7 linked regions of the Nothobranchius furzeri genome follow. The protein of the gene in region 4 binds, or shares a complex with, the protein of the main gene of each other region. Links are inferred from orthologs where the notes say so. Each region holds a gene or a part of one and is shown on either strand. Other genes may lie near its edges.

Evidence for each region.
Region 1: nup85 (region 4) and ranbp2 share a complex: the UniProt entries of both Homo sapiens proteins name them as parts of the nuclear pore complex. The link is inferred for Nothobranchius furzeri from reciprocal best matches to the Homo sapiens genes NUP85 and RANBP2.
Region 2: nup85 (region 4) and nup188 share a complex: the UniProt entries of both Homo sapiens proteins name them as parts of the nuclear pore complex. The link is inferred for Nothobranchius furzeri from reciprocal best matches to the Homo sapiens genes NUP85 and NUP188.
Region 3: nup85 (region 4) and nup153 share a complex: the UniProt entries of both Homo sapiens proteins name them as parts of the nuclear pore complex. The link is inferred for Nothobranchius furzeri from reciprocal best matches to the Homo sapiens genes NUP85 and NUP153.
Region 5: nup85 (region 4) and cetn3 share a complex: the UniProt entries of both Homo sapiens proteins name them as parts of the nuclear pore complex. The link is inferred for Nothobranchius furzeri from reciprocal best matches to the Homo sapiens genes NUP85 and CETN3.
Region 6: nup85 (region 4) and nup160 share a complex: the UniProt entries of both Homo sapiens proteins name them as parts of the nuclear pore complex. The link is inferred for Nothobranchius furzeri from reciprocal best matches to the Homo sapiens genes NUP85 and NUP160.
Region 7: nup85 (region 4) and nup214 share a complex: the UniProt entries of both Homo sapiens proteins name them as parts of the nuclear pore complex. The link is inferred for Nothobranchius furzeri from reciprocal best matches to the Homo sapiens genes NUP85 and NUP214.

Annotation. Positions count from the first base shown.
Region 1 is NC_091747.1:23,232,305-23,235,804, reverse strand, and holds part of ranbp2 (E3 SUMO-protein ligase RanBP2), read right to left. Parts: intron 1,595-3,500; coding exon 1,418-1,594; intron 1-1,417. UniProt on the Homo sapiens protein: E3 SUMO-protein ligase which facilitates SUMO1 and SUMO2 conjugation by UBE2I. Involved in transport factor (Ran-GTP, karyopherin)-mediated protein import via the F-G repeat-containing domain which acts as a docking site for substrates.
Region 2 is NC_091746.1:61,201,351-61,204,850, forward strand, and holds part of nup188 (nucleoporin NUP188), read right to left. Parts: intron 2,544-3,500; coding exon 2,374-2,543; intron 2,289-2,373; coding exon 2,219-2,288; intron 2,138-2,218; coding exon 2,070-2,137; intron 197-2,069; coding exon 1-196. UniProt on the Homo sapiens protein: Component of the nuclear pore complex (NPC), a complex required for the trafficking across the nuclear envelope. Required for proper protein transport into the nucleus.
Region 3 is NC_091759.1:94,286-97,785, forward strand, and holds part of nup153 (nuclear pore complex protein Nup153), read right to left. Parts: coding exon 3,438-3,500; intron 3,356-3,437; coding exon 3,257-3,355; intron 3,177-3,256; coding exon 3,086-3,176; intron 2,763-3,085; coding exon 2,661-2,762; intron 1,213-2,660; coding exon 565-1,212; intron 462-564; coding exon 282-461; intron 1-281. UniProt on the Homo sapiens protein: Component of the nuclear pore complex (NPC), a complex required for the trafficking across the nuclear envelope. Functions as a scaffolding element in the nuclear phase of the NPC essential for normal nucleocytoplasmic transport of proteins and mRNAs.
Region 4 is NC_091752.1:54,277,265-54,279,930, reverse strand, and holds the end of nup85 (nuclear pore complex protein Nup85), read right to left. Parts: intron 2,525-2,666; coding exon 2,424-2,524; intron 2,268-2,423; coding exon 2,116-2,267; intron 950-2,115; coding exon 848-949; intron 710-847; coding exon 611-709; 3' UTR 501-610; downstream 1-500. UniProt on the Homo sapiens protein: Essential component of the nuclear pore complex (NPC) that seems to be required for NPC assembly and maintenance. As part of the NPC Nup107-160 subcomplex plays a role in RNA export and in tethering NUP96/Nup98 and NUP153 to the nucleus.
Region 5 is NC_091746.1:37,904,206-37,908,289, reverse strand, and holds the start of cetn3 (centrin-3), read right to left. Parts: upstream 2,801-4,084; 5' UTR 2,657-2,800; coding exon 2,640-2,656; intron 1,789-2,639; coding exon 1,650-1,788; intron 1,285-1,649; coding exon 1,170-1,284; intron 1,087-1,169; coding exon 895-1,086; intron 526-894; coding exon 482-525; 3' UTR 1-481. UniProt on the Homo sapiens protein: Plays a fundamental role in microtubule-organizing center structure and function. As a component of the TREX-2 complex, involved in the export of mRNAs to the cytoplasm through the nuclear pores.
Region 6 is NC_091744.1:79,862,794-79,866,723, forward strand, and holds the start of nup160 (nuclear pore complex protein Nup160), read right to left. Parts: upstream 2,801-3,930; 5' UTR 2,746-2,800; coding exon 2,655-2,745; intron 27-2,654; coding exon 1-26. Other genes in the region: fibroblast growth factor receptor substrate 2, read right to left, coding at 3,740-3,930. UniProt on the Homo sapiens protein: Functions as a component of the nuclear pore complex (NPC). Involved in poly(A)+ RNA transport.
Region 7 is NC_091746.1:57,211,654-57,215,153, reverse strand, and holds part of nup214 (nuclear pore complex protein Nup214), read right to left. Parts: intron 2,083-3,500; coding exon 2,030-2,082; intron 1,936-2,029; coding exon 481-1,935; intron 1-480. UniProt on the Homo sapiens protein: Part of the nuclear pore complex. Has a critical role in nucleocytoplasmic transport.

The sequences.
Region 1 (3,500 bases), on a different chromosome or scaffold from region 4:
TACTTTTCTGACGTGCTTTGCCTCAGCTGAGTTCATAATCTGTGCCCCGGTGATTTCAACTCATTACTGCTGGAGCATAGCCTAGTGAACTAGACCAAATTCTTGCTTTGCAAAGAATGGTCTAGGCATGCTCCATTGGAACCTCAGCAGCTCCTACCAGGACTCTGGCTAGCCAATCACAGCTCTCTAGAGGGGTTTCAAACACACAAAGAGCTGTGATTGGTCCATAATGGTGGGCCAGTCATAGTGCTCTATCTGCTTAGTGAACAAATCAGAGCTTTATCCGCTTTGTGGGCCAATCAGGGCACTCTATATGCCTGGTGGGTGGGATGATGCAACAGAGTGAAACAAGAGTATGTCACATTCATTGTCCAGTGGAATGCAGAGATCATTTGAAAGACAACAGTAGAACCCGCCCCACAACCAAGAGCCGTCAGTGGAGCATGGCCAGACTAAATAATACATTTATTTAGTCTGGCTTGCCAGGCTAGCTGGAGCACCACGCATGTGAAGATCCCTTTGGCTGATCGTTAGAAAGTAGGAAATCTAGGAAACAGTTTTTCTGGAAGACGGAGAAAACATGCAGCATGCAGGAAGGTTAGCGAGAGAAAGGGCCGGAAATTATTCAAATAAAATCAAGAAAAAAAGAAAAAAGTAGGAAGATTTATCCCCGATACACATTTTTACCAGTGAAAAGCAATAATACAATAAGCATTTAATATTTATACATGTGATAGAATCAGATCACCCCAGAAGTCAGTTCCACATCCAGGGCCGTATCAAGGCATTTGGGGACCAAGGCAAATATAGGCTTGGAGCCCCCACCACCTCACTCCCTGCTCAGTTAATATAAGATGGCAGCGTGCTGAGAGTACAGATTGTTGTTGCTTTTATTTAATAAACAATCATTTTAAAGCACTGTTATTATATCTGACTGTTTTAACAGCAATCCTAGCTCAGACACCACATCACTTTCCACATATATGTCATGAGCTCACTGAGCGTCACATGACCAGATTCATACTGAAGTTGTTTTGGTGAAAGTAACTTAAAGTAATGCAAAAGTAGTGTAATGCCTTACATTTTAAAATCAGTAATATTGTAATGTAATGAATTACTTTAAAATGAGGGTAACAAGTAATAAATAATGCATTACAGTTTTGAAGTAACTTGCCCAACACTGGTGTTAGCGCTAGCTACAGGCTAGCAAGCTGAGGCAGGGTTGTTAATGACAGTTGTAATTTATAAATCTGTCAGATTTAGAAACTGGTAAATGCAACTGGCCCGTTTGGGGTAAAAAATAATCTTTGAACAAGTTTTTTTTTATTTAGGATTTTCAAACAAAGATGTGTGATGTAATTTACAGTTCCAGTCATCAGAATCTGTCTTTGCTCAGCTTTCATATCTTTCGTCTCACCGTCGGTTTCGTCATCGCTGACGTAGCCAGGCTCATTTTTGTAGCAGAAGAATGTGAACGGCAGCCTGAGTTCCCTGGCTAACGCTGCCTGTTCAGTTGTGGGCTCCTTGACGTATACAACCTCAACATCTGAGTCCTCATCTGAGCCCGAGGGGCCTCCTCCTGCCTGGGGGGGTGCTGTAACAGGAAAAACAGAAGATTTAAAAAATAAAACATAAAAATCAGGCTGCTTCAAGAGAAAAATCAAGTTGATCCATGGTTTCAATGAGAGGAAGTGTTAGATACACTCGCACACACGAAAATAATCCCATGCATAACAAAAGCATGCATGTGATTTTCTACAGTGAAAAAGTTGTATAAAGGCGACTTTATGTCTGTGGTTTTGACTCTGCTAACTGTTGAAGTGCAACATGAAACCACTTTAATACCAGAGCTTTACAGGGTTTCCCTTACATAGGCGTAGCCGCTGAAATCCCACCGCCACGCCTACAACATCCCAAGTTTTTTTTTTTTTTTTTTGCGCTGTTTCCCGAAGAAGCAGCGGGAACTACTATGTTGTCGCTTGTGATCACAGCCGGCGGGCAGCAAGGAGGAGCAGGCAGGGCAGGGTGAAGTTACAGCATAAGTTACTGAGTTTAAAATTAGAAAGGTAGCAGTGGATATAATGCTTTTTGGTTTACATGTTTCAACAGCATTAAGATAAACGAGTGTTGACCATCTTGACAGGGTTTCCTCCCCCCACCAGGCTAAGCATCACTTATTTATGTAAAACTTATTTTTTCATGTCTGACTTTAACCACATCTAATAATGTATTACGGCGTGAGCGCAACAGCGACAACTTAAGATCGATGTGTGAGCAGCCTGAGAGGTCGGGTGTTTCACCTGAACCATTAAAAACCTCCAGCAGGCTACGCTTCACTATTGACGTGTTAGCGCGCGGCGCTAACAACTTAGCGACGTGACATGTCTCTGAGAAAGCATAAAAACACGTTGGACGCTTCTTCTGAAGCGGGAAAATAACACCTCTTCTTAAGCAGAGCACTACGTCGCCTCGGCTCGTTCACGACCGAGCCGGACTGAGCTCGATAACTGACCCAGCACAGCCACTGGGTCGTTGGAGCTGCCCCGTGACTGCCTGATGGAAAACCAGCGGGTTTCATCAGACTTGTAAAGTTTCTTGTTTTTGCTGGGGACCCCCTGTATTTTACCGCTCCCTCCTGCAGTCTTCCCCTATTAACATTTAAAATGATTCTGTAAACTCCGTGTATCAATAGAAACAATCTCTGCCTCTGCCAGCTGCAGTAAATGTAGTCTCCAAATAATAAATAAGAGGTGCATTCATCTGTGTATCTCCTTTGACCCACATTAGTGATATTCTCAGCACCAGAACAGTGAAGCAAAGAAAGATTCCTGAGTTTGTTAGTAATTTTATTTATTAGGTGCATCTAACCTGTTCTATTTTTCTCTGAAATGAGATCAAATCAGTGCTTCTATGGGTTGTTATTTAGAGACGCGTCATAATTTCCGGCCCCACCACCACAGCTGGAAAAATTCCTAGGGGAAACACTGCTTTACCCTAATTAGCCTCTGCTGATGTCTCACCAAGCAGGGAGCTACATTTCACGCTGTTGCTACACATCCAGCACTAAAAATGGCTCTGAAGGAACATCCTCTGCTCTCAGCTCATCTGTCAAGAGATGCTTAACTTTTACTGGTGTGAAAAACTAGTTACAATCCTAACTGTGGTAACGAACCACTACCAAAGAAACAATCATTACTATCAAATAAACACAACTATAACCGTGATAAAACTGTAATTACTCAGGAAATATTAAATATAATGCATTAAATACAGGTTACAGGTTTGTTTGTTTGTTAAAACTTAAATGTATATTTATCCTAGGGCTAGAAAATGTAGGTTACAAGTGGGCCCTTTACTTTAAACAGCCATCATAATATAAAGATCCCAAATTTAAAGGTAAGCAAACCTCCACTATAAAGAGCAAGTCACCCCTATCAGATTCTTACTCAACTCCCACTAGCAGACCGAAAGGACAGAGCCGCTAACAAACACACACAGGC
Region 2 (3,500 bases), on a different chromosome or scaffold from region 4:
GTGGCTCGTGGAGAGAATCAGTAGCATCCTCCAAGCAGAGATCAGCATTTGTGTCTCTGGGAAGTAACAGATGCCTTCCTCCTCGGTCTCTGCCACGTGGCACACCAGCGACTTGACATACTGGGACCAGTACTCGTAGCGCCGAGCGTTTGAGAACTTCTGAAGCCCGTCCTTCAGAGACTGCTCCAGGGAGCCGCTGCAGAGACCCACAGAGAGGCAGAGTCCGTATTTAAGCGAGTGAAACACATGAGCACCAGTAGGTGCATTTCCATCACCGGAACTTCAGGGTAGATTTACAGTGTGTGTGTGTGCGTGCGTGTGTGTCTGCCTGCTCTGTCTTCTCGATCCCCAGTGAGTCATGGAGGATGGCTGCTTATACTGAGCCAGGATTCTCTGGAGGTTTCTTCCTGTTAAAAGGGAGTTTTCCTCTCCACTGTCCCTACATGCTTGCTTAGTATGACGATTTGCTGGGTTCCTTATATAGTAGGGTTGTCACGGTAACCGGTGTAGCGGTAAACCCCGGTAAAAAAAAGTTGACAATAATAATAACCGTCTTGTTTTTAAAAAACTATATTATCTCGGTGGGTTACCGTGGCTGCGGTGTAGGCGTGGTGACCCTTACCAGCCACCGTATCATCTGCTGAAGTTGCCGGCGGCACATGCGCGCTTTGTTGTTTACAATCAAAACTTTCTTGAAGCTAAAGCTGAAATAATGGTCAAAGGAGGAGACGGCAGCGCTCAGGAAATTTTTTATCCCTCAAAGAAGACGAAGTGGGAAGTACGGGCATTTTATGGATATTTGAAGAATGCAGAGGGAGTTTATAGAAGACGGCTATCCTGTTTGCAGCACGTGCAGAAAAAGTGTCTGTGAAAGGCAGCAACGCTTCAAATCTCATGACACATCTGCGTGACCATCACCCACAACTCTACAGTCAACGCAAGGCAAGCTAACGTTAGCATTTTAGCTAAAATGCGTGATCCGAGGATTTGGGTTGAGGGAGAATGCAACGAGTGGCTATATAAAGCAGCTGCAGCGCCGCTACCTGCATATGAACCGTGTCGCGGACACCGCCATGTTGAAATGACGCTATGCATTATGGGGCTCCCAGAGGCAGATAAGAGTTGGTCTCTCTCTGAGAATAATTATGAATTTAACAACGATTACTGCCTGATGACATTTTCCCACATCTGCAAAGCTCACTGGAAGGACACAAACCGAGGACAACATTTTCCTGATATAGGGTTTATTACTCAAGTAAGGGTAAAAAAGTATCTGATTAGAAGGCTACTTGAGTACTGAGTATCATCTGATCTAATATTTTTAAAATGATGACATCAAACAGACAAAATAAGAAGTTATGGGCAAATATTGGTATTTTAAAGACTAAATGGGAAAATGTAAACAAATAAACAACATAATTACAAAATAACACATTTTAGGCAAGATTTAGACACAAACTGAGGACAATATTTCCTGACATACAGGGTTTATTTAATTGTGTGAAAATGTAGCACGTTTAAAAAAAATACTGCGATAATATCGAAAACCGTGGTAATTTTGGTCACAATAACCGTGAGGTTAAATTTTCACACCGTGACAACCCTAATACATAGGAAACATTTTTTCTGATTGGCTCAATGAACTGACCTGAATTAGAATGTTTACTATGTGAAGTGCCTTGAGACGACTCTTGTCGTGACTTGGCGCCATATAAATAAAATTGAATTGAATTGAATAAGTGCTCGGAATGGCCCGGTAAATGACCCGGTGCAGGTTGGTGCGCAGGAACACTGCCGATTGGTGGTGTAACTCGTCAGAAATGATGTTTCGTTCACTGCTTTTGGAGCGTGCTGCGTGTTTTGCACCAATCCATGACATAACTCACAACGTAGCAGTCGCGATGTGCTGGCGTTTTAGCAAATTCCTTACAGAGTCACACTGTAAATGGAGACACGACAGCTAAGAGGACCGGCCTTCGGATCTCCCGGTCAGTTTCCCCCTCGCTGCATTTACCCTGAAGTTCCGGTAAAGCAAACGCACCTAGTACCACTCAGCGTGGATCTGTTACCTGACAACGTAGTAGATCTCCAGGCCAATGATCTTCATGACAAATGCACAGGCCTCCAGAACACAGGGCTGAAGACAAACACACCTCTTTAAGTTCATCTAAGCAGAGAGAGACAAGTGGCTGTAAATGAAAAACAACGACATCAGCACCTCTGTGGTTTCTGCAGGTGGGGTGAGGGTTCCAAAGAGAGGCATTGTCAGATTCTCCCAAAATTTTTCTCTGCACAAAAAACAACACGCCATGATGCTTCTCACCAAATTTCAGTTGAAAGAAACAGATGATTCAAGTGTTAAAATGTGCTCACTTGGTGCGCAGAACTGAAATGGCGCTGTCTCTGCGATCCTGCCAGAGGGCCAGCAGGAAGGCCAGGGCTGCCCGGTGGAGCAGGGGGGGGCACCAGTACTTCCCCTGCTGTTTGGAGTCGATCAGATCCAAAACCACATGGAGACAGCTCCACTCGCCCAGCAGGAACTCCTGCAGGTTCACATTTTACTTCTAAGTAACAACTAAAGGAAAGAATCTTTCTCAGATACGTTTATTAACAAGCGTGTATTATTTGATGTAAAAAGGCCATCTGGACGTTTTTCACACAAAAACTTCACTCTAACGAGGGATTTGGCTACGACGGCCGAACCGGGTAGAACAGCAGCGCCGACACATTTTACTAGAACTCTTCCAGTTTAAGCAATCAGAAAAAATTCAAACAGGTATTAAGATCAGAAGTGTCACTTTCAAGTCCACTTAATATTACGGTAAAACGGGTGTATTCACTCCTCCGTCTCACACTTACGAAGGGAGCTGAGTGAGGGACAGAAAAGGAGCTACAGAGACAGATGAACACAGCGATAAATAAAATCGGCCGTAGCAGCGCCAGGAAAAAAGAAAGAAAAACAACCAAATGTGCCACTCCAACAGCTGGAGCATCAGACCCTGGTCCCCACGCCCATCCGCTGCTGCGCCGTAACGGTGTTAACAGATCAGCAGATCCCGGGTTAGGCAGCATCGCCGCAAAAGCTGCGGCTTTGACGATACCACGATTGTTTGAAAATCACATTTTTGCTCAGAAAATGCCAGACCATTCAGCCCTCCTCCAGACTGGGGCAGACGGATATATCCGTCTGATTGATAGTTGCCGTTTTTTATACGTCTGCATTGGCTGATATTTGTCCTGATTTAAAGTCAGATGTATCCTCGAGCAGCCCGGTGCTGTTGCAGAATGTAATTTTAATGTATTTTTATGTTCACTAATAACATCTGCATAATAAATACTCTAAATTAACTTTATTTAGGTGTTTGACTTTAACACCGAGCAGTGCACAAAGTTAAGGTTTAACAGTTAAATTCAGAGATCTAAAACTGATTCAGCTTCAGAAATGTTGCACATCAACTGTTGCTATTAGTGACATTGTCACATGCAAATAAGGTGGAAAA
Region 3 (3,500 bases), on a different chromosome or scaffold from region 4:
TCAGCAAAAAAAAAAATGTGATTTGGGGGTGACTTGCTCTTTAAACCTGCAAAATGTTTGTCTTAAAAAAGGAAAACTGAGTAATCAGCTCTTCTCAGAATGAATCGTCTCTAGGTTGCCGCTACAGACAAAATTTACACAGGAAAGCAGGTTTTTGGTACATTTCATAACTCAAGCCGTCAACAATTAACATTAATGTGGTTTTAAATTCTAGGATCGCTGTAAAAATAATCCTTTTTCCCCGTTCTGATAAGCTATTCATCCCAACAGCCTTTAGGTACCTTTAGGCTCCACCTTAGCTCCAGGTTTGGCCGTCTGACAGGCAACACACTTCACATCAGCAGCTTTATTCTGCACCAGACAAACGTCACAGTCCCAGGATCCCTCTGGTTTCTTGAACTTGTCTCCAAATCCAAACACTGGGGCGCTGCTGGTTGATGAGGCAGCCTCCGCTGTAGCTCCTGTTAACGATTTGAACATAAAAAGGATGCTCAGTAAGAACATGCCTCAATAAGAAAGTGGAGTAAAAACAAAGTAAATATCAAAACACCATGCTGCCATTACCCGGTTTAGCTTCTTTGCAAGCCACGCATTTAGTGTCCTCCGCCTTGTTTTGTACCAAACACGTTTGGCATTCCCACGAGCCCTCGGGTTTTTGGAATATATCTCCAAATCCACTGATGCCTGTGGAAATGGGGGTTGTGGGAGCGGGTGCAGTCTTAACAGTTGAGAAGGCAGAAGAAAAGGTGAGAGAGGGTTTGAGCCCCGTCCCGGGTTTGGCCGTTTCACAGGCCACACACTTCACCACATCTGGTTTGTTTGAGATCATGCACGTATCGCATTCCCAGGTTCCTGCAGGCTTAGAAAAGATGGGACTGAACCCCGTCGTGGTCACAGCGGCGCTCGTGCTGATGCTCTCCAGCCCCACAGCACTGTCGTTTGACGGTTTGCCCTCCGTGGATTTAGGTGAATTGTTTGGTTTTGAAGCCGCACAGCAAACACATTTTGTGTCCGACTTCTTGTTCTGAACCAAGCATTCGTCACAGCTCCAACCCGCAGGGGCCTTCGGTAAACTAACAAACTCTGTAGGAGCAGGCAGGGAGGAGGAGGAGGAGGTTGTGGCCGTTGAGACGGGTGCTGCGGGAGGCGTCGGTGTTTGCTGTGGAGCAACGTTTGGGTCTGAGGAGTTCGGAGCAACGGGAGAAGCAAAACCTAGAGAGGGGAAACGGAGCGTTAAGATAAAAACATTTTTATTAAAATACGCACAAAAAGGCCGGGCGATTGACCTCCTGCACCGATCGTTTTTAAAGATAATATTTTTATAAGTCCTGAGGATGAGATATTCTATACTTCCAAGAAAAATCAGGGTCCTCTTGCCACATTCTCTTTGTACACATACAGAAATCTGGGATTTTAGTGCCAATCACGGATACAACCACCTTTGTCAAACTACATTTGAAATTATGTCCAACATACGGTTCAAAGCCGCTAATCACTGACAGAAAACAACCATCTGAAACAAAACTCGTCTTTATCCACTAAAGTCCAAATAGCGTCCTCCACAAGTAGGGCTGGGCAGTAGAACGAAAGCAATATCCGTTTGAACATTTCCTCCATAGATGTGATAGCCAATCATATTAAGTGCTGCACCCGGCTGGACCAATCACACGGCAGACAGACTGACACGCTAACAGCTAATGTTTGTGTAGCTTTACCCCAGCTTTCCACCAGATGTGAAAGCAGCGGCGTTTCACCCTCGAGCTCCCCTCCGACTGGGAGCCATTCAGACACAGCCGATCCCGCGAGATCGCAAAATCACGAGAGAATTCCAACCCCATGCGCGATTTCAGAAGTCCACACAATAGCGAGGAGCAAGACGGCTCCATGTACACAAAACGGTATGGTTAATTTTCTGTTCTGACTTTTATTTTGAAAGTTTTCTGAAGTTTGTCACTGATTTCATGTTTGACTTCCTGTCTGGCCCGATCTGAACTGGTGTTTGACGTGTTTTGGAAGTTTAGCGTGCAAAAAAATAGACTTGTGACGTCATGAAAGCTTCCCTTTGCTTCTGGGATGCGTCCAAAACGTTACTTTGCTTTCAACAGAAAGTAAACCGTTCACTAAAATGGTGGCTAACTGTCATATAGCACATTTTGCTGCCTTTTTGCACCGCTTTCATGCCTGGCGGGAAGACAGGTTAGCCTCTTACCGCAGGTAACAGGTGGGACATGAATGATATAAACAGAAAAAAAAAATTGCGCCCCAAAAGAAAAAGACGGAGGAAACAGCAAACGACAATAAGGGATCGAACAGTTCAGTCGTGTGGACGTATTTTAGCCTTTTAACATCCGACAACGTGCACTTTACAATCACGGAGTGGGCCAGTTAGCCACTGCTGCGTGTCGCCAAAGCTTTTTCCTCTTCATGGTCTACGATACGTTGCTCAGGTTGAAAAAAGTCTCTAAAATGTTATATTTTAGAACAATTGATGTCTCCGCGGTTCCAACGGTAATATTTTAATCATATATGGGCCCATTATTGCTCTGGAGGGTGAATACATCACCAGTTATTTGTTGGACTGATCAATATCAGCTAGAAAAGATTTTTCCTTACCGCCCGACCTCAGAGCGCAAAAAACAAATTATTCTACAGGTTCCTACCAGGGGACTTCAGGAGGTCCAACACACTGGCCTGCTTCAGCGTCTTGGCTGGTTTAAAAGGTCCTTCAAACTCTTCTGTGCTCTTGCTTCCGACTGACTTCACTGCAACACATGAAAACAGATGGAAGCTCACTCAAGATGCTCTGTAACCGTAGACCAGGGGAGCCCAGTCCTGGTCCTAGAGGGCCGGTCTCCCAGCAGGTTTTGTGTTTTTTCTGCTCCAACACACTTGATTAACTGGTTGAATCACCTGTGCGGCATCTCATCAGGCTCTGCAGAAGCCTGTTAATCACCTGCTGATTGAAATCAGGTGTGTTGAAGCAGTTAAAACTAAAACCTGCTGGATAACGGCCCTCCAGGACCAGGACTGGGCACCCCTGCCGTGGACCATCAGGAACAGATGAAGAGTGGGCGAACGCCTTCACCTGGTCGTGCCGAGGGTGTGGCGAGATTTCCATTGGACATGGACAGAGAGGGAGCCAACTTCGCTACAGGTGCGCTGAAAGTAAATCCGGTCTACAAGGAAACAAGACAACATGCATCACCTGTGTTTTTACAGCAGGCTATTTGACGAGTTAATTTAAGCATGTACTCACGGAGGGGGAATAAGAAGGTGGGCTGGCAGCAGTTGCTTTGACAATGGGGGAGGAAAAGGTGAACGGTGCGCAGGGCGGTGTCGACGCCTTCGGTGGATCCTTGTTGGGGACAAAAATTTTTATCTAGTGTTCTTTTACACTTCTAAAAATAAAAGTAGGAATAAGCAGATGTAGGACAAACCTTATTTGTGGCTGCTTCCTTAGTAGGAGTGACAGCTGTGATCTCGGGGGCGGAGCTAGTAGA
Region 4 (2,666 bases):
AACTCAATGCCTTAATTGTGATGGGTTGTCCTCTGAATTTTTTAGTGTTCACAAGGGAGTACCACAGGGCTCAGTCTTGGGACCCCTCTTGTTCATTATGTATATCAATGACTTATTACAAAATGTGTCAGATGCTTATATGCACTTTTACACTGATGACACAATCATTTACTGCTTTGGAACTTCCCCCACTAAAGCAGTTGAATTCTTACAGAAAGCTTTTGGTCCAACAAACACTTTGTAAAAATTTGAGCTAAACATATTTGGAATATAATTCATGAGAAGGGTCAATAACTGGAAAAATGAGATTGTTTTCATAAGAAAAGGGATCAGTTGAACTGTAATGACCCTGTTTAATAAAACACAGCTGCTGTTTTTGTGTCGTGTTGCGTGAACGTGATTTTTTTTGTTTACAGTTAAATAATTTAAAACAATTTGATATGTTTGATATTTTGATTTATTCTAATAATTTCCCAAAAATGATTTAGAAACAACGTAAGTGAACGGAATGAAGAGATATTTATTATCAAAAAACAAACATTTGATGACTTGATCTTATTAACAGTACAAAAATGCAAAAGAAGAGCTTGTTTTTAAATCTGAATCTACTTTATGTCTGCATTGTTCCTTCTTTCACAATAGCTGAAGCCAGATTTCTGGCCAGGGCGAGTCTCAGCATCTCCACCTTGGTCACCTCTACGTCTTCCTCCTGAAAACAGAAAGACAGATTTTAAACGTGGAAACGGCAGTAGATAATCACTTTAACATCAAACTGGGTTTGGTTTGTGTTAAAACTATGAAACAGGAATGTCCAGCTGCTGGGACGAGCTGAAAGAAGAATAAAGACCTGCATGGGTCTGCCTGATCCAGAAGCAGCAGTGATCAGAGAGGAGGTGAGCTCCTCTAAGCAGTACATCAACTCATAGGTTTGCTCTGCAGAGAAGATCACCTGAAAACAAGGAGAACAAGTTACTCCACTGAAACTCCAACTGTTCGGATTTTTTCATCCACATAATAAAAAATGACAAATAGCTCAATTTTTGATATGCTAACTCTTACAAGAAACATGTTTAGTAGTCAGTTGGTTTAAATGGTAACTAGGCAGTTTTAGCACCCCCAAGAAATCTCCTCGCTGTGCGTTCGTCTTTTTAACACCTTAATCTAACAGCTGAAATGACTCCTCAGCCTTCATTAGTGTCTACAGGAGTGAGTCGTCACCAAATCAAACATATCAGATGTGTTCCCGATCCAAAACATGCAGGAAGCAGACTGCAGCGCCAGGTGTGTCAGCTCAATTTTTTACCGGCACTCTGGGGTTGCAAGTGGGATATTCTGCCACATGGGGGGGTGGGGGGGGGGGGAGAGATGATAGGAGCTGTGTGGCCTTTAATTAACCTCAAAAAGGGTCATTTTAGCACAAACTGGCTCAAGAAAATGACTTCAAAATATGAAAAAGTTGCAAAGTGCCCCTTTAATAAAACAGGGGTAGTAATGTTCACATTAAAAATAACATACGGTAGTGTGTCACTCAAAAAAACTACATAAATTAATTAATTTTTAATGATGAATAAAAAGTTCCACAAATACCTACTTAAAGATAGATATTACTTATTCTATTTGTGCAGCATTTTTCATGCACACAAAACTCTGACCAGGAGGTCACAAATGATCTTAAACAGGATCAAAACATTCATTTAACAACATCTGAATGCTCCAGATTTGTGCATTTAACCCTCTGATGCATGAATTATGAGATCTTCAACCATGATTTTTTAAACAATTTGTTTCATTCATCTTTAGGTGTGAATTAAACAAATTTCAACAAATATTCTTTGTAACATTTTGTTAATTTACAAATACTTTATTACATGTCTATCTCAGTGGACAGCGTGCATTCTGAACATGAAATATGTTGGCTTGCCTTACTGAAGTCCAACTGGAGAGGCTCACATGCAATAAAGTCTTCAACAGCTGTGCTTAATAGCAAAAATAAATAAATAACTATTTTGAGTACCTGTCCACTGTAGTGACCATTATGCATCAAAGGGATAAACTAAAGTTCTTGATTTTGTAATAACAAATCTACTTTAAACCGATGTTCAGGTGTGGACTGACCTCTTTCTGCTCCAGCAGAGGCAGAGCATCCGTCAGCAGCGTCATCCAGAAGCTTTGGGGAGCGATTTTAGCCGTCATGAGGGAGAGTAGCAGCTTTGCAGCATCGCTGAAGCACTTCTCTCCGTACAGCTTGTGGAACTCACGGTATTTTCCTGGAGAGAATCATTTCTATCAAATCATCCTCCAGAAATTCTCACCATCACATGTTGTTGCATCAAGCGGATACTGGTTCTGTTTCTATTAGTCTTGTGTGTGTGTGTGTGTGTGTGTGTGTGTGTGTGTGTGTGTGTGTGTGTTCAGGCTCCTACCAAGGAAGGTTAGCCTGTCGCTGAGCAGCATGGTTGAGCCCAGGTTGTCGATCAGATCCAGATCAGAGAAGGTGCCTTTGGCGCAGTAATCCTGCAGGAACCTAAAACACAAACACAAAAACAACTTCAAATCATTTTCAGAGAGAAAGACATTTAGTGAACTAATAAGCCCAACAGTGATACTTATAAAAAGCTTAAGAAGCATGTAGGTAAAAGTTAAATGTGTTCCTGGAGAATGAAGAT
Region 5 (4,084 bases), on a different chromosome or scaffold from region 4:
TTATTAAAGTATGATGGTGCCGGGTCTGACGACTCTGGCTCTTTGGGAAATGACAAATGAGTAGGGTTGGCAAAACAATTTAAAAATAAATATGCCACATTTAACTAATAACTGCAACAGGTCAAATAGGATACGAGTGAAACAGATCTGATCTTCTGTGTTTTACTACATCACATTAACACGTTCCTAACGGAGCTTCAGACTCGTCTTCTACACAAACACACTCCATGAATAAAAGCTCGCTTCTTAAAGAAATGCCAGCAGGTCAGCATCATATTGACACTTCATGTCTACGAGAGGAACTGAGCAGTGTGAGCAGATGTTGGTCCAGACACGATCTGGTGCTTTTATTTATCAAACCAAGTCAGAACAAAGCTCCAGGCTCCTGATAAAGTCCAGTCCACCTCAGAAGCAAGAGAACAAGGCCCATATCTCCTCCCAATATGGGCAAAGAGTCCAACTTACAGATGGGGAAACCTCTTCATGGGTCTCTGGTCATGATGGAGAGGAACTCCTCCTGATTTACTGAAAAGAAGGGAAAAACACCTGGTCAGATCTACTGGATTTACCTGGAAAGCTTAGACGCAAGAATGAAAGAAAACAAACAAAAAGCGAAGCAGCAGTGGATTTTTGTTACTTTAACTGAACATGTTTACACATTGTCGTTAGTAAATCTATTTTGTTCCAGGGCAGCAGATGCCTGCTGACGTGACAGGATCTGGTCTAACAGTGAAAGCAACAATGTTAGGAACAATCATATAAATAATTAAAATGCCTGTGTGTGCCAGAAGATGCAGTGATGATGTTGGTATTGTTGCATCTGCGGCTCTAATCAGACACAAAATCACAACAAAAGAGAGACAGAGTTGCTCTCATCTCAGACTCCGGTCTTACTTTCTCCATCCCCGTCTGTGTCAAACTCGTCGATCATGCTGCGTAGCTCCTCGTCGCTGATGTTCTCCCCGAGTTCTCGAGCAACCCGTCTCAGGTTCCTCAGGCTGATCTTTCCTGACTCGTCATCGTCAAACAGCTTGAAAGCCTTCATGATCTCCTCTTTGGGATCTCGCTCCAAGATGCGATCCGTAACTGTTGAGGGGTAGGGAAAAGGTTTAGTAGCTAATGAAGCACCTCAAGCTATGAGGTAATACCAGAGCCGATGACCACCTTACCCACTTCGCTGAAATCCTCAAAGGTGATTTTCCCACTTCCCTCTCTGTCGTAATCCTTCAGAATCTTCAGAACATCCACTTTCTTCACTTCAAAACCGAGAGCGCGCATCGCCACCTGACAAGATGTTTAAATGTTGTTTTGGTTTGAATTCAGGATTAGAACAATTAGTAACTAGCACTAAAACAACAAATAAATGTTATTGCTGTAGAACGTTAGCTCCAATTCCCCTGGAGCTTTATTTCAGCAGGGTGCCTTCAGACATGGAAAACCCATTAGCGTTTCTCCAAAAGGTGATTAAATGGTATTTAGTTACTTTTACTTACATAATAATACATAAATACCTGGTGCTCCACATTCACAGCAGTTAAAGAAAAATAGGAATGATGAGGTTATAAAAGCATAACTTATATACGGCATTATTTCAGGCACAAAAACCATAAGGTAACCATAACAACCACCACTATGGCCCATTTTCTTACCTTCAGCTCGTGATAGTCAATCTCCTTATCTTTATCCGTGTCAAATAAGTCAAAAGCTTCTTTAATTTCATGCTTTTGGTCCTCGGTGAGCTCCCTCCTCTTCTTGCGCTTGGTTGTCTCAGCTGCAAGATCAGTTCTGCTGAAACAAACACACATGCAGTCTCACCTCAGACACTACCTGTATCACAGCCATGACTTATTAATGCATTAACCCATACACTTTGTTATCCAATGAGAACTAAACCATTTTCTGTAATGTTTATTGGGGTCTCTCTGATGACACAGGGTAGGCTAAAGGATCTTAAAAAAATCTACCTTATGCCTTGTTCTAAAAAAAATCAAAAGCAAAATAACCCAGAAGAACATCTAAAGCTTTGTAGGTCAAACTTGGTTAAGGTTTAAGGTCATGTGTCAACAATAAGGTAAACCTCATTCTCCAAAGCCTCTGCTGAACAACAACAACAACAACAAAAACAACCCACATTTACCAAAAACATTGGGAGGACCTCCAAAAGTCTGGGGGAAATTGTTTATTGACAGATGGAAAAAAACAAAACAAAACAAAAAACTAGTACATTCGGGTCCCCCACCGTTTCTCCGCCAGCTTCTTTGTAAACTGTTGTGTTTAGCAATATTATTTCAAGAAAATCCCTAAAAATATATATCTTAATCATTTGGTCATTGCTGTAGCTGTGAAATTCATCATGTTTAGTGAATATCACTAATTCTAATCTAATTCAGATTACGATACAATTAGATAATATTACTCAATTTACAGTTATACACAAGGGACTCGTTCCCTCATAAATGTCTTATCCTGATAAAAAAAATAACATCTACGCCTATAATTGTACAATTTGGCAGGACGAAATCATCTTGACGAGACAAGCGAAGGCGTACGTTTTTCAACTGGGGAACAAATCTCGACGTACCACCGGTTTCAACTGAACTGTAACAGCCACATCTCGCGACAAAAGGTTAGCTCCTTACCTTAGAGATAAACTCATTCCAGGTGAATTTATAAAACCTTTAAACCAAATGTTATTCTGAATGCTATGTGGCTACAGCTTCCAGCAAACACAACAAATCCGTTTATCCGCGCTCACACACCAGGAATCCTATTGGTCGCTGGTTGCCAGGCAGCAGTTAGGCGAGATCTGGTTGGTTAATGTTACTTCTTCAAGGCCGCTTACCCGGTCGTTGTCATTGCTCTATGCAGTCAATTAGAGCACTATTGCCACCTCGTGTTCATAACTGATACCACAGTCTATATTATACATATGGATGGATATACATATGCCCGGTATATATATATATATATATATATATATACACATACAAACCAATGATGAATCAAAAATATTCTGACACATCACCATTGCATAAAGAAGAAGAAAGGGCCTGTATATTATGTAAGGTACCTAAATTCTCCTAAAATTTTCAATATCTGGTGAATTTGGACATAGAGAATTATTCTAATGACTTCACGTGCTAATGTAACACTCACAAGGTCTTTATGAACCTCAAATCTTGATTTTGTTTTAAAAAAAATTTTGGGGTGGGGGGACACCCTCTCCACCAGCTGTTAAAGTCTCATACGTTCAAGCTGCTTTATAAAACTATTATTCCAAGCCCAGTTAAATCTTAACTTTCAGAAATTCTAAGCAGCCAGAGTTCAGAGTTGCCAAAAAGTGCTGCTTTTAGTTTTTGCCCACCAAAGAGTGCTCTTTCATAGGAAAAATCTTCTTTCTCTAAACTAAGTTGTGGATGTTCTAACATCGCCAGGACTTTTTGAGTGCCACAGGATTTTAATCTATAACAATGTAGTATGTTACCAGTAGTAACCTTTGTCACTGTGGTGCCAGCTCTCTTCAGGTCATTCACTAATTCCCCATATGTACTTCTGGACTGTTTCCTCACCATTCTCAAGATCATTTGTACCCCACAAGGTGAGATCTTACACAGAGCCACAGGTCGAGGAATACTGTCAGTGATTTTGTATTTATTCCAGTTTCTAATAATTGCTGCAACAGTTGATCTCTTCCCACCAAGTTGCTTACCTGTTGTGGATTTACTCAAGCCAATCTTGTGCAGGTGTACAATCCTGACACTGATGTCGTTTGTCAACTCTCTGGTCTTGGCCATGGTGGAGTCTGACTGACTGAAGGTGTAGACAGGTGTCTTTTATACAGATACCAGTTGCCACTAATTCAGTCAGCAAGTGGAGGATAGATAAGCTTCTTAAAGAAGAAGTAACAGGTATGTGAGGACCAGAATTATTGCACATATGTAGGCACTAAATATGTATCTTCTGCACCATGATACAAATAATTTCTTAGAAAATTTTACAGTGTGACTTCCAGGATTTTTTACATTCTGTCTCATAGTTGAAGCAAACTGTAACTAGGAATGCACCGATGCGATACTGGTATCGG
Region 6 (3,930 bases), on a different chromosome or scaffold from region 4:
GATCCCAACTGTTGGAGCGCTCACACCTGCAGAAAAAAAAAAACACAGATATGAAGTCACCTCGAAGCTGAACTAACCAGCTGCCTGGTCAAACAGCCATTGTGACTAATAATGATGTGAAACTGTTTCATACAACAACTAATGTTGGTAAGCTCAGAAAGGACACAGAATTTATAAATATAAAACTAGTGCAAAGTCAGAAAAGGGTAGAATGCCTTCTCCGGGTCAGGGATGAGGTCCTGCCCCAAGTGGAGGGGTTTAAGTATCTCGGGGTCTTGTTCACGGGTGAGGGAAAACTGGAGCGTGTCTGCAGTGATGCGGGCGTTGTACCGGGCTGTCGTGGTGAAGAGAGAGCTGAGCCAGAAGGCGAAGCTCTCGATTTACCGGTCCATCTACGTTCCTACCCTCACCCAGTGTTGGGAGTAACGCCGTTTAAGTATAACGGCATTACTAATGGTGTTCTTTTTTAGGTAACAGAATAATCTAATTAATTACTTTTCCCACTGTTGCAACGCCGTTACCGTTACTGGGGATGGAAGGTTGTGCGTTACTATGTTCTTGTCGAACGTTGAGCAGCAGCGTGAGGCTTTCTGACCGCCACACTTCAGCTGCAGCCAGGAAGAGAGGTGTCGGTAACGCGCTTACAAACACGATGATGATTAGCCGGGTGGGCGGAGACCCTCAGTGTTCTCACTGTCTCAGTTGCTGCCTGCTGTAGACCCAACTGAGCAGTGATGGGAATAACGCCGTTTAAAATAACCACGTTAATAAAAAGATATATATATTTCTTTCTGTAACGAGCAAACTAATTAATTACCGTCTTAACAAAACGATCGTTTCTGTTACTGATAAGGAAATGCGTGCGTTAAGCAGCGCGGCAGCGAATCTGCGGGTCTGCAGCCGTGTCCTTCTTAGCGTGACAGCGGGACGTCCCGAAGGTCCGCTCACCTGTTCACCGCTCCGACGTCCTGATCTTCTACCTTCCTAGATCATCCAGCTGTAACCTGTTTCTGATCATGTCTTTAGTCCCGCTGTAACACTGATGCATCAGTCTCAGACGGCATGGAGCTCAGGTGTTACTAGAACTACCTGTGTGTGTTTACCACCCAGCTTCAGCTCTTCTGTGGTTGGGTCTGACCCAAGTTAGTAAATGTAAGTCCTCCATCAGGCTTGTGCCTCTTCTAGTGTCATTTTAAAGGATTTTATTTATTTATTTAACCGTTACTAGATTAGCAGCAACAGAAATGCTGCTAAAAACACACAATTATGTGAAGCTGGAAAAATTAAAATGCTGTGCAAAATTACATTTATTTCTGTAATTTAACTAGACTGAGAGACCATTTAAAGGCTCGGGAACCTTTACAGGTGTTTCTATTTGCAATTTTAAATTTTAGCTGATTGGGGTCTTGTTAAAAATCACACAGTGACCTTTTAATAGTCTAGATAAGTGTAATGTTCCTGTTAGTAGTTCCTCCTGTTAAGTGCTTATTTATTTAAATCGTTCAGGTTTATAAAAAACATTTAGACATTCATTTTATTATGTTCCAATCATTAGTCATTTATATTTCACTATTGTAGTAACTCTTGCACGCTTTAATGAAAAAGTAACTAAGTAGTTATTTTTCTTGGTAATTAGTTACTTTTATAATCTTGTAACTCAGTAACTGAGTTACTTTGACAAAGTAATCAGTAACTATAACTAATTACTTTTTTAAAGTAACGTTCCCAACACTGCCCTCACCTATGGTCACAAGCTTTGGGTAGTGACCGAATAAAAAAGTACAATAAGTATACTTTTGCAACGAACGTGTTTATTCTCTTGGCTAGATCCATAAATGTAAATCTGCTCATAAGATGCCATATTTCCCTTATTCTCTTAAAAATGTATAACTATTTATAAACAAAATTTCTCACTCGTCTAACAAAAAGTCTCAAAACGATTGATGCTTGTGGATTTTTGCACGTATTTGTAGAACTAACAGAGATGGGAATTGTGGCATCAAGTCATCTCCATGTCGTGTTTTTGTTCTGCTCTGCAACAAAATCAGGTGATCTCAGATGAACCTGGCTCAATCCACATCTCTGACCGTTAATCCCTCTGGCTGAATGTTCACTTACAGGTATTCACCTGTGTCGTATACGTCATGTTCTCCTGGTGTAGACTTGCACTTCGCTAAATAAAGTCCTTGACACTTCTGCAGGATTAGGGTTGAGCTTCCACATCCTCGTGATTTTATCTTGAGGCGCTCTATTAAAGATCGTCTTCTTTCTTTCTGCGTGAAGAGGACTTACTGACTCCATAAAGAAGACACCGTAATCCAGCCTAGCTGCCTCAGGTTGGGTTACACCGCAGCTTTGATCTGCGGTGGGCTGTTATGCACCTACATACCCCTCAGAATGATGGCAGTTGCGCCCCTGTTCAGTATGAGTAACAGGTGAGCAACCTTTGAGTTGACCATACAACTGTTTCACTAGAGCTCACCTGTTCGGTGCAGCTGCCCTGAACATTTCACATCACAGAGACATGTGAGCACGCGCAGAGCGAGAGGACAGCGTAGCTAGCCGCGGCTAGATCAGCGCGGGATCCAGTTAACGTGAATGGAACATTAAAAGTAATGCCTAACTGGACTTCATTAATCAGAACTCACACTCACCTGGACTCACTGTGACTTCACGGAACCGGCGCTCTGTTTCCCGCTCAAACCCGCAAAACTCCACGAAGCTTCTCTCCATTACAGCCGCCATCTTCTCCGTGGGGCCACGTGACACTTGAAAGCTGCGCACGCAGCATCTTAGAAACCCAGTGAAATAAACGCCCCACTGTAACCATAGATATGTCTGTGGACGCAACGTAGCAGTAGCGGGCCGCCATCTTGGATGGGTTCCCAATCACCCGCAGAGCATTTATTTCGACTGAAGGTGTTAACTTCAAAACTCATTTTACGGATTTTTTTTAACAAAGTCAGATACATGGTATGGCATGATAAGAAAACATAAATGAATTTTTTTCACATTTTAATAAAAAAACAAGTTTGTTAATTTGAAGGTCTGTCTCTCTCTCTCACACACACACGCTGAGGCTGAAGGGAAAACGAAACCCTGATTTTCTATTTTACTCTATTTTATTCATTTGTTTGAGTGCTGAAGGTTACGATAATAGCCTAGTTCCTAGTTCTCATTTCTCCAGGTGAATGTGCCGCCATACCAAGTCAAATTACCCACTGTGGAATTAATGAAGTCTATTCTATTCTATATTTGACTTTGGCACTTTCCACGTCTTCTGGAGATCTGTGGAGTCTCACATAAATATCAGGACCACATGCTCCTCCAGCTTCTCCACCCGAGAACCTGCTGCTGCCACTTTGACCACTAGGTGGCAGCAGATGCTTCACTGGAAAAGACTGCACCGATTACTGAATTTAATGGACAGATGCATTTGTGTTGCGAATGGCGGTGTGGCTCAGAGATGAAGCAAGGCGCTCGCTCGGCAGCCGATTCAAATAGAAGCAGACTTTATTGTGTCAGCTCTACTGTACATGTGTCATCTTACAGCAGCACAGTGACTCGTACAAAAAGATAACTGGAATGTTTGTTCAGTAATACTGATGTGTACCATATAAGGAAAGCAGTCTGTTACATCATCACCTTCAGAGGTATAAAGTACCAGTTCACCTGAACAGGTGAGACTACAAGACGATCCATCTCCTATCTGAGGAGTCCGTGCACAGCTCCATGCGCATCACGCTGCGCTCTTGCTTGGCAGCTCAGTGCTGTTGTGTCTCGTCTTGCGTGACGTGCCGTCGTCCCGCGGCCGTGCCTTCTGTAGACTGGACATGGCGGCAGTGCGCTCGATGTCGATTAGCGCATAGGGTTCTGTGCGCCGCGTGGGTGTGGTGGGGGGCAGCGGGGAGGTGGGGGTGCGGGGTGTGT
Region 7 (3,500 bases), on a different chromosome or scaffold from region 4:
CTGCTGTTTCGTCTCAACCCACAGCTCTGCAGGTGTTTTGTAGAGAAGTGTGAGCCTGCTGCTGAGCACCTTGTGCCGTGCCTGCCCTGTCGTGGGATTGCACATTGCTCAAAACAGCTGCACGCCAAGTTAACTATTTGACATAAGAGCGAAGAGACAAATTTTAAATAGATTTGTAACATTGACACATTTCTTCTGAATGTTCTATCTGAGCCAGAGTTTTATAGAAGATAAACTAACGAAATGACATAAAAACAAAAACAACAACAAAAAACCACAAACAATAATAAAAAGCTTTAAAGGACAACTTGTATGTGTTCTCCTTTTTCTTTTCCTTTTTAACACATTCCTGAAGTATCGGATCGGGACTTGGTATTGGCAGATACTCAAAATCAAATGACTCAGATCTGAAGCAAAAAAGAGTGACTGGAACATCCCTAAAGGTGACACCTGACCTGATAAAGCCCCGGCTCGGCTCACCTGAAGGCTGACTGAAGCTGAATCCTGAAGATGAAGGTGTGGTGGTGTTACTCCCGAATACAGGTCCTTGCCCAAATCCAGAGCTCTGGCCAAACGCCAGGGTTGTGCTCTGTCCAAACTGTGTTGGCGCTGTGTTGGCGCCACTCGCACCAAAGGAGAAGGAACTTGCGTTGCTGGCAGTGGCAGACCCAAAGAGACCTCCTCCTCCGGTGGTCCCACTACTAGAGGTGGCTCCGAATCCAGATTGGGTAAAAGAAAAGCTGCTGGCTGATCCAGAATTGCTGGAAGGTTGGGCGAACAGGTTATTCTGACCAAACACGGATTTACCAAAGCCGGTTCCAGTTGTTGCACCAAACCCAGAAGAGCTAAAAGCTGTGGGAGCTGGAGCTGATGATGCCGGAGGTGCTACAGGCTGCCCAAACACAGCAGCAGTGGTGGTTGGAGTACCGCTAGACACTGAAGGGGTGATGGTGGTGGCTGCGGGGGCAGCTGTGTTGATAACAGGTGGGACCCCAACAGAACTGCTGTCTGTAGTTGCAGGAGTTGATTGAGTGAAGATGGAACCGGGTTTTTCCGATGGGGGCACTTGGAATGCTGCTGGGCGGGACTGGGAATCAGGGGCAACAGATGCAGCAGGTGAAGTGGACACAGGTGTGGTGGTGGAGGAGTCTGGGGGGGCTTCTGTTGTGGATGGGGCACTGACTGGTGGCGGGGGGACTGCTTCAGCTGGTGCAGTGAAGGTAGAAAGGGGCACTAGAGTAGAAACAGTAGTGATAACAGGCACTGCAGGGGTTGATGCTGCAGGTGTTGCCATGGTTACTGCATTCGGTGCAGGTTCTGGTGCTACAGACTGACTAGTGCTGTCTTCAGTAGAGTCACTTGTAGTAGGCTCTTCTTCGGGAGGTGGTGTTGGCTCTGAAGGCTGTGGGGGGGCTTTTGGTTCCTCTGAAGAAGGTGTAACAAGGCTACTGAAAGATGTAGGCAAAGTGGAAGGCACTGAGTCGGATGGGGGAACAGAAAACGCCGGCTTGGAGGTCGATTCAGGAGGCTTGAACAAGCTGTTAGGCGCCGCCCCCTTGGACAAGTCAGCAGCACTAAAGCTAAATTGTTGCGCTCCCACACCCAGGCCAATACCAGCCTCCCCAAGTGTAAACTCTGCAACTGGATTTGGTGCAGCATCTTTGGCTTCTTCTCCTTGACCCACACGTAGACCAGAAAAAATGCCCAGTGTCTCTCCTCCAGTCAGCTTTGCTGGCTGTGGCTCCACCCTGGGAGCAGGGGGAGATGTGGTGGATGGGAGTTTCCCTGGTTCAACAGATGCATCTGAAGCCAGAGTGGGAGACCCAGTGCCAAGACCAGATGAGGTGGGCTTCTGGATGAGGGAGAACGGCGGGTCTCCAGACTGACCAAATACAGCTTTGCCATTTCTGAAAGTGAACTTGTTCACATCTTTAACTGTAAAGAAGGGAAGCAGAAATCTGTGATTATGAAGGCATGAATGACCATTTCACGGTTTTATGGACAGAACCAGGTTTCTGGATAGTTTTACCTTGTGAGGATCCGAGTCCTTGTGAGGCTGAGGTTAAACTGAAGCCTGCTGACCTGCAAGAGTCAAAATACAACAGTGGAGCTAACTTTACATTTATGATTCAACATAATTCAAAACACGTCACTCCTCCTTGAACCGTCACCTTATCGTGGTGGAGGAGTTTGAGTGCCCTAATGATCCCAGGAGCTATGTTGTCTGAGGCACTTTGTGCCCCTGGTAGGGTCTCCCATGACAAATTGGTCTTAGGTGAAGGGTGAGACAAAGAACGGTTCACAGGATCTTTCATGGACGTAAAAACAAAGAGTCGGAGTACCCGGCCCGGAGGGTTACCGGGGTCCCACCCTAGAGCCAGGCCTGGGGTTGGGGCCCGTGAGCGAGCGCCTGGTGGCCGGGCTTTCGCCCATGGGGCCCGGCCGGGCCCAGCCCGAACCGGATACATGGGCTCATTCAACTGTGGACCCACCACCCGCAGAAGGAACATGAAGGGTCCGGTGCAGTGTGGATCGGGTGGCAGACCAAGGCGGGAGCCTTGGCGGTCCGATCCCCGGACAAGAAAACTGGTTTTTGGGACATGGAACGTCACCTCGCTGGCGGGGAAGGAGCAGGAGCTTGTGGCAGAGGTTGAGCAGTACCGCCGGACTCACCTCGACACATAGCATTGGCTCTGGAACCCAAGACCTTGAGAGGGGTTGGACACTCTCCTTTGCTGGAGTTGCTCCGGGTGAGAGGCGGAGGGCTGGGGTTGGCATTTTGTTAGCCCCAAGACTCTCTGCCTGTGTGTTGGGGTTTACCCCGGGGGACGAGAGGGTAGCTTCCCTGCGACTTCAGGTCGGGGAACGGGTCCTGACTGTTGTTTGTGCTTATGGGCCAAATATCAGTTCAGAGTACCCACCCTTTTTGGAGTCCCTGGGACGAGTGCTAGATAGTGCTCCATCAGGGGACTCCATTGTCCTGCTGGGGGACTTCAATGCTCACGTGGGCAATGACAGCTTGACCTGGAGGGGTGTGATTGGGAGGAACGGCCCGCCTGATCTGAACTCAAGTGGGGTTTTGTTATTGGACTTCTGTGCAAGTCGCAGTTTGGCCATAATGAACACCATGTTCGAACATAAGGATGCCCATCGGTACACTTGATACCAGGGCAGCCTAGGTCGCAGGTCGATGATAGACTTTGTAGTCGTATCATCTGACCTGCGGCCGTATGTTTTGGACACCCGAGTGAAGAGAGGGGTGGAGCTGTCAACTGATCACCACCTGGTGGTGAGTTGGATCAGATGGCAGGGGAAGATGCCGTGTAGACTTGGCAGACCCAAACGCATAGTGAGGGTCTGCTGGGAACGCCTGGCAGAAGAACCTGTTAAGACGGTCTTCAACTCCCACCTCTGGCAGAGCTTTGACCGCGTCCCAAGAGCAGTGGGGGACATTGACTCCGAGTGGGCCTTGTTCCACTCGGCAATTGTTGAGGCGGCTG